Schizosaccharomyces pombe: one gene and its partner. The gene in region 2 interacts genetically with the main gene of each other region. Each region holds a gene or a part of one and is shown on either strand. Other genes may lie near its edges.

Region 1 (5,083 bases), 680 kb from region 2:
CTTCAATGTAAGATGCTTATAGTGAGTTAGTAAAGTGAAGTAAAAAAAAAAAGAATAATAAGCAATTATACCTTTAATCACTTTATCTGACAATTCTACATCGGTAAGATCACTATAAATGCTTTTTATGTAATTATTTAACAAATCGGACAGCGTGTCTGGACTCTGGATGATTGAAGCGTTTGTGTCTTGTAGTTCTAACAATTTAGCTCTTTTCCTTTCCTTTTGTTTTTGGCGTTGTTTTTTTCTTTTTTCACGTTTCGCTGAATCGTTGTTTTGAGAAGCAGTAAAATTTTCAGTTATTGTAGTAGGTTGTGCAGATTCTTCATCCGAAACTGAAATTTCTGAAACTAAATCTACCTGATAATCAAGTTGATCATCCAAAGCATCAGCGTCTGTTGTCGTGTAGCTCATAATTGCATGTTTTAAAATTTTGGTGTTAGGGATACGTTCAGTTCGTGGACCGTCGAATAGTACAGGAAAAATGTAAAAAAAAATATAAATCTATCGTTTACAAAAATATAGAGTATTTGAAGGTCTATATAGAAGAAAAAAAAATAAAAGGAATTCATTTGGTTTATAAAATCGTAGATAATTTCCATTATTACGTTATGAAGGTTGTCTAAACTATGGATTAAAATTGTGAACGGAATTGACAGTAAAGAAAAGAATGAATTTGTAGACAAACAAAAGTTTAGGATAAAAACAAGGTAAGGAAAGGGATAAAAAGGGGAAAGAGGTGGAAGCATACAAAATCCAAGAAAGAGAGAATAGTGTCAAGTGTGCTTTATTGACGCAAAGGAAAAAAATATAAAAAGAGAAAAAAAAGATGGTAAGCAGTAAATAATACAGAAAATGATCTTTTAATCGTAGTCAAAAATTGTGAAACAATAGTCGATAAGAATTTCGATAGTTCTAGAGAAACTGCTAATTTCTGGGATAGTAGCTTGCTTAATGATAGTAGGTCCCCAAATAATGGCCAAATTGTTTGTCGACATTTTGTTTACATCGCTGTTTTCTTTAATTTTAGCAAGATGTATGGTTAAATGACGAATGGTAGAGTAGTTGGCATCGGGAAGATCGTTGATCGCACGATGGACGGCATCTCTTCTTCTGGATTCGTCTTCAACGTTACCTGCGTCGATAAAGTCTCTTTGATGATTGTCGGGAATTAACGGTTCACGTAGTTCACGGAAAAAGATTTTTAGTAGATCAGCGACTGCATGAACGTCGTTTTCATAGTCCTCAGGTGTATGTAATTGTAAGAGAGGATTATTCTCAAATTGAGAACGTAACATGTTGACACGGGCGGAAGAGCTGGGAACACGGTAGATGCCCTGGAGGTTGAGACCAAAATTTTCGACTTGGGAAGTGCATTGCATTACGATGTTTGGAATGTTGGAATGTTCTCGTAGAATGATTGCGTCTAATCGAGCACCAAAGAGTAACGATTTCGTAGGAGAGGAAGGTTGAGGGGAGACAGAAGTTGGTCGGAAGGGAGATGCAGCACGGTTTGAGTTGATGCTAGAAGGCGGTGGTGCGACTTCTCGAGACGTTTGAATCGTTGTCGTCTGGATGGGAGGTAAAGTAGGAAGTAGTACGGGAGGTGATTGTTGGGCAACAGGGGGCTTGTTTTCTGCATTAGAAGCGAGTGGAGAAGAGGTACGAGGATTGGAAGAAGAGGATGAAGAAGAACCGTTTGTGTCATTGGCGGTACTAGGTTTTAGGGTAGAAGCCAAAGGAGAGGCTGAAGCGGGAGCAGTAGAGGGATTGGAAGTAGATGAGTTTGGGAAGGCAGGGGAAGCCACAGAAGGGTTGGGAAAAGTGGATGGAGCAGGATTAGTGTTTTGTAGGGGAGAGGGAATAGCAGCAGTAACCTTGATGGTGGGGTTGACGGGTGGATTGGTTTTTCCGGCAGAGGAACCAGTTCCGTAAGAGCTTGGAGGTTGAATGATTTTTGTTTTAGAAGCGTCGGTTGGATTTTTGTTATCTTCATGCTTGATGGAGGCGTGAAGGACGTATTGAACAAAATCGGTATTTGCATTTATATTATCCAAAGCATGTTGTAAACCACAGTTGGTAGGAGTGGGCTTTTGTGGACGGATTGTGAGACCGTTGAGCAGGGTGTTTGACTCGCAGAGCTTTGTGTACCGTAGATAGTTTGCAATGAGTGAGCTTTCAATTTCGCGTTGAAGGGAAAAGAATTGCTTTATGTAGTTTGGTCGGTGAATACACAAAAGTTGTTTTTGAACGTTTTGAGCGTTTTCAATCTTACTGTGCATATCTGATTCTGCATTTTCGGCCTTAAGGCGAGCTTCATCTTCGAGTTTGGTGAGCTGAGCATTAGATTTTGGTTTAAAAAAACCAACCTTCTTCTGGGAGTCTCCAGTGTTTTTGTTGTCGAGAGCGCGGTTGTACTCGGTTTCGGCACCCTTAAAGCGAGATTTGGATTTATCCATTTGCATAACGGCTTCTAAATATGCGTTTTCTTGTTTTTTCGCATATTCCTTGATGGATTTTCGTTTGCGTTCTGCGTTTTTGTGAAATTCGATGACTTGATCGGAAAATGCAGAAAGAGTTTTTTGAAGGGTTAAACTGTGATTGGCAAGTTGTTCATGAATTTCCATACTCGTAATGACAGAGGCGGAAAAAGATTGGGGAGAGTGGTGTTTGGATTGAAACGTCTCTAGGTAGGATTTAGCAAGTTTTTGTAAATTTTTTCCACTTTCTTCTTCGAGAATGGAACGCTTTTTAAAGAATCCGGCGAGTTCTTTGCAAGTGAGGAGGTAGTCTTTAATGCGATCATTTAGGATTGCTAGACCAAGTTCCGAATTGAGGATCGCTTCGACTTTTGGTTCTTTGAGAACTGCGAAATCATCAGAGGAAGTGGTATTTGGAGGCGATGTTGGTGGGGAAGCGGGAGTGGTAGAGGAGGAGGGAGCCGACAGCATTGAAGGAGTTGAGTGATGGGCGGGAGCAAGAGAAGTAAATAGAGTGAGAGAATAGAAAGAGTAAAAATAACAAAAGAAGCGCGGTAAACGCGAAAATATATAAAATCACTTGAGCAAGCAAAGAATGATAGAGGAAAGAAGGGTGAATTCTTTGTTTGTAAGGAATTGGTAGTGGGTGGTTGGTTTGAGTAGTATAGCGAGTATAGAGGATGTAAACGAGGAAAGGGTAAGGAGAGGACGGTAGAGGAAGAGATAAAGAGGATTAAGGAGGTATGAGTAGTTCAAATTACGGAGATGTAACGAAGCTAAAAGTTTGGAATTGGGAGGTTGAGTGTGGGGGATGAAAATGAGTTTAAGATAGGAAGGTAAAGGAAAAGAATAAAATACAAATTGCGTTGTATAACGTTTCTGCCATACCCTTTTTAAGTGGGATGAAGTATAGTGAGGGAGGGTTGAAAAGGAAGGAAGAGTTGACTGTGGTATTCGAGGTAAGTGTCATACCCTTTCCAAGTGGGAGGTAGAGATACGTGGGGGTAAAGACTGAGGTGAGTAGGAAGGCGGTAAGGGGAAGAAGGGTATAAGGAGAAAGAGTTGATTGTGTTATTTAAGGAAAAGTGTCATACCCTTTCTAAGTGGGGGATAGCAAAATAAGGAGACAGAAAGTTGGTTGCGTTATTCGAGTAAAATGCCATACCCTTTCCAAATGGGGGAGAGGATTAGGTGAATGAAAAGAACAAATAAGTAGGATTATTCTATTGCAAGTTGTTTGTAATACTTTTTTTGTCATGAACGAATATGTAAAAACAATAATAAATCCTTAGAGCCTACTGTTAATATAATAACATTATGTTTATTCTATGACTACAGGTTTGTCAACATGTTTTATTGCGACTGTTTAATTTTTGTATTTGTTATACCGATATATTTTTAATCAGTATTATATTTTCTTAAATAACTTAATAACGAACTTGACAATGAAACGTTCCTAATTCTCATTAGACGGGAATTCTTTAGGGGACCCCACATTAAGTGGGATGAGTGCTTGCTTTGTTGTAGTAGCTATGGTAACTATTTCTTTGTTTGGGTAGGAACAAAGAAAGAGAAAGGAGAGAAAATAGTGGGTTAGCCGTGAAAGGAAAAGAGAGTGAGAAGAAGGGTAGGAAAAGAAGAGAGAGTAGTTGAAGGAAAAATATTGGAAGAGGTAGTATTTTTCTGTATGCATATGCATATGCATTTGTATAGCATACAACCTTTAATTTAATAGCCATACAACCTAATAGCCAGAAACGCCTTCCCAATTTACTGAACCCTGCTTATATGTAGTTTATAATTGTTGTGTCTTTTTTTTACGTTTAAGTTGTAATTTGATGTTAGAATTTATTACAATGGATGCAAGTTTTAACTCAATTTGATCACATAGGATTTGAATTGTAAAAAGGTCTTCTGCTGACATTATTAGTATGTATTGTGCTTTAGATTAAATTATTGTGTTTTAGTGTATTTTGTTCCTTTGTTTTTGGGTTTCTTTGTTCTGTAAGTAGTTAAATACCCTCCACACTCTACACCTACCTTGCACTCACAACTACAATGGACTCACACCAAGAATTATCAGCGGGTTCCCCTATTTCCTACGACTTTTTAGATCCAGACTGGTGTTTTAAAAGATACCTTACAAAGGATGCTCTTCATTCAATTGAAACTGGCAAAGGTGCTGCTTACTTTGTTCCTGATGGCTTTACTCCTATACTCATTCCTAACTCACAAAGCTACCTGTTGGATGGGAATTCTGCACAACTGCCAAGACCTCAACCAATATCCTTCACATTGGATCAATGTAAAGTTCCCGGCTATATTTTGAAGAGTTTACGGAAAGACACTACGTCTACTGAACGTACTCCGAGACCCCCTAATGCTTTTATATTATACAGGAAGGAAAAACATGCTACATTATTAAAGTCTAACCCTTCCATCAATAATTCACAAGTTTCCAAGCTGGTTGGAGAGATGTGGAGAAACGAATCAAAGGAAGTACGTATGCGATATTTTAAGATGTCTGAGTTTTATAAAGCACAACATCAGAAAATGTACCCTGGTTATAAGTACCAGCCTAGAAAGAATAAAGTTAAAAGATA
Region 2 (3,724 bases):
TGAATGTAAATACGTGTAAACATTTTAGCAAATGTTTTACGCATTCGAATAATACTTAGTGGATTATTGTCCGTTTGATATTACCAAATAGAGAATCCCAATGAGAATATTTAAAAAAATAACGCACTCAACCACGATGAAGGCAGCAGCATGGAAAATGCTGAAAAAAGAAATGTAAATGTCAATTATACGGCTGAATAGTCAGACGTTTTAACAAGCCGGGTGTAAAAATTTTTTTGATCTATTCAAGCGCTGCTTTATTTTTATAAAATATGTACTGGCATTGTTGAAAGCTGACTTTTAGTTCATCATGAACAAAATAATATATTTCGGCTTTCCGAATCGTTAAAATGCAAGAAGTAATTAATGTTACAAAAAATTAAAGATGCCATTTACTTCAACCACTCCTCGTCTATTGTTTTCATACACAAATGAAACGGAAACCGTGTAACCTTGCTACATACTTTTAATACAATTAACACTTTACGGACTACGTGGAAAGTGTAAGACAAAAGCAGAATAGCATAAGTCCTTTATTCATGATATAAGTGCTGAGAACGGAGCTTACTCATCCAAGCATATAGACACACAATGCTCTTTTTTTTTTAAAGAATGCTTGAATGGGCACACGTAGCCGATGTACTGAAGGCATATTTACTAACTGATTCATTACCTATAATTTGAGTTAGTCTAACCATGATAGGTCATTAGTTAAATGACTCGTATTTGCGAAATAGAAACCAAATATTATTTATGATGCAGTAAACGATGAATAAATCCAATAAATGAAAGATTTAGAGATTGAACTTTAACGAAATAAGAAGGGCTTGAGGAAGATGCGAGGAACTGGAAAAGAATGATGTGTAAGAAAAATAATAGACATTATCAAAGAAATAGGCAAAAGGTCAAGCACAACTAGTTGAAGGCAGTCGGTTAGACGAAATATTAGAATCTGTAATACTAATGCAAAAAGAGCATACGGAAGAGAAAGTAGTGAATAAAAGAAAGTCCAAGAATTCGTGGTACTACCACAAGGATATAAGAAGCTCAAAAAAATGGAAATGCAATAGAAAGAAGAAATCATCAAAGGAATGAGAAAATAGATACGAGAAAAATCCTTCAACAAGTTCTTATTGAAAGTAAATGAAATCAAAAATACTCAGTTTTTCTTCCTTTGCTTTTCTACTTCAACAGCTGATAAAATAGGATACCCGATGAAAAGCATTAACAATCCACAACTCAGAAGAATTAAAGTCAAAATATTTACAAATCCACGCAAAGTAAAAATATTCAAATCGCGGCCATCATAGAAATCTTCATTGTGCAAAATATCATCGACTTCCTTAACACTAGGATCCCATAAAAGTGTAGCAGACTGCATAGTCACCGGAGACTCCACGGTTCCCAAGGAACTAGCACTGCCAAATGCTGATTCTGATGGCCCAGTCAGTTGTGCTGAGGCAATTTCATCTGTATAAGGAGAATACTTTTTCTCTGAAAAATCCTTGACATGAAAGTCAGAAACAGAATCCATCGGCTGTATATCATGGCCTACGGGCTCTAGGTCTTCTGATTCCCAAATGTCATCGTCGTAAGGCTCCTCATCACCGGCTGAAACTTCGTTAGCCAACTCGTAATTCAATTCATTATCGAGCATATCATCTGGCCTTAAACTTTCATTATAGTCTATAGGTGACTGAGACATTTTTTTCTAATTAGTACTCTGCCTCAGTTGTTTGGTTGTTTACAAAGGAATTTACTCAGCCGAAATAAAATACCAATCACCTTAGAATACGTTGTTAACATTACATAAGAGTGTTCGACAATACGTTAATGAATATTAGTCAGTTGCAGCAAAAAAGTAGCGCATCTACGCTATACATAATTTCGAGCTACTATGACTCGATATCTCAAATTAGCAAAAGCTTTAATAATCTTAGGAATGTATACTGAAGTTCGTTGTATGTCGTTCGTAAGCACTAAGGTTCGAATTTTTCTGTATGGTTTTCTCTACTCTTTTGCATACTCCAAAACTGTAGAGATTTAGCAATTGTCTTTGAACGCGCGCCATGTCGCGTATAATTATAAAAAATATTCCCCGCTACTATGACAAGGAGAAGCTATCAACATATTTAAAATCTTTACCTCAGTTGGATGCTGAAATCACAGACGTTAGCGTAGCCAAAACAAAAGAAGGCGTTAGTAGACGATTTGCTTTCATTGGATTCAAAAATGAAGAGGATGCTGATAAAGCGATTCGTTATTTGAACAAATCTTACGTTGAGACTTCTCGTATCGAAGTTCATCGAGCTTTGGATTATCGATCGGCTAACGAAAAGCTTCGACCTTACAGTAAATACGCTTCTAAAAATATTGAATTGAAACTACAAAAAAAAGAAAAGGAGGAAGAATTAAGAAATTTGGAAGAAGAGAAAGCTAAAAAGAAGAAAGATGCCAACCTGAAGAGAAAGTTTTTAGACACACTTGATCCCAAGGCTCGAGAGTTTTTAAAACTCTCTTCCTCGATTTCTAACTCAAGGAGTTGGGAAAATGAAGAAGTTTTTGATACTGAAATTACGAATCCTGTTATTCCAGCTGATGAAGATGATGATGAATATCAGGATCTTCCTGCTGCAAAACGACACGAAGGTGACTCAATTAAATCTACTGAACATGACAGCACACTTGACTCCGGTGTAGTAATAGACGGAAGGGAAAAATCTTCTTCGGAGCTTCATGAAGAAGAGTCAGAGCAAGCTGCTGAAGGTGATACCGCCAAAAATTCAGGTACTGATGCTCAAGCACCGTTGTCTGATGACGAATGGCTCAGGCTCCACAGAACAAGAATCAAAGAAAAACAACCTGAAGAGGAAGTTAGTGTTGTTGGTGATGAGTTAAAGTCCTTTGACAAAGAAAATAATGACGAGCATCTTGAAAGGGTTACGAATGATAAAATTGCGGATGCATCCATGCTGCAAAAGGCTGAAAATAATGTTTCCGAGCAAGAAAGAAATATTCAGCTGATTTCTGAGACAAAAAGATTATTCCTTAGAAATTTAACCTATAGTTGCGCGGAGGACGATTTAAAATCACTTTTTGGTCCTTTCGGTCAATTGGAACAAGTTCATATGCCTATTGATAAAAAGACCAATAACCCCAAAGGATTCGCTTACATTGATTTCCATGATGCAGACGACGCGGTGCGTGCGTATTTAGAATTAGACGCAAAACCCTTTCAAGGTCGGCTTTTACACGTTTTACCTGCAAAAGCGCGTTCTAGTATCCTTCTAGACGATTACGCATTAAGCAAGCTTCCTTTGAAAAAGCAAAGAGAACTCAAACGTAAGAATACTGCTGCTTCTAGTACCTTTAGCTGGAACTCATTGTATATGAATGCTGATGCAGTCGTGACATCGCTAGCATCGCGCCTTGGCGTTAAAAAGACTGATATCCTCGATCCCACCTCATCTGATTCTGCTGTGAAGCAAGCTCTTACTGAGACTCATGTTATTCAAGAGACAAAAAATTTCTTTGAGGAGCATGGTGTTGATTTGGATGCGTTTAAGAACGCAGCACGATCGGACAACGTTTTACTAGTCAAAAATTTTCCATACGGTACCTCGGCTGAGGAGCTTACTTCACTTTTTTCGCCATTCGGTGAGCTTGGTAGAATTTTAATCCCCCCTGCTGGGACGATTGCTATTATTGAGTTCTTAAATGCTCC

The links.
Region 1: mutations in sbg1 (region 2) and rga7 are lethal when combined (synthetic lethality), as found in Schizosaccharomyces pombe (one study listed by BioGRID).

Annotation. Positions count from the first base shown.
Region 1 is NC_003423.3:2,109,944-2,115,026, forward strand, and holds rga7 (Rho-type GTPase-activating protein Rga7), read right to left. Parts: upstream 3,133-5,083; 5' UTR 2,952-3,132; coding exon 864-2,951; 3' UTR 542-863; downstream 1-541. Other genes in the region: cms1 (U3-containing 90S preribosome complex subunit), read right to left, coding at 1-15, 72-414; mat1-Mi (M-specific transcription factor Mi), read right to left, coding at 4,276-4,404; mat1-Mc (M-specific transcription factor Mc), read left to right, coding at 4,539-5,083.
Region 2 is NC_003423.3:1,434,259-1,437,982, reverse strand, and holds sbg1 (actinomyosin ring linker protein Sbg1), read right to left. Parts: upstream 1,747-3,724; 5' UTR 1,706-1,746; coding exon 1,160-1,705; 3' UTR 508-1,159; downstream 1-507. Other genes in the region: RNA-binding protein Mrd1, read left to right, coding at 2,070-3,724.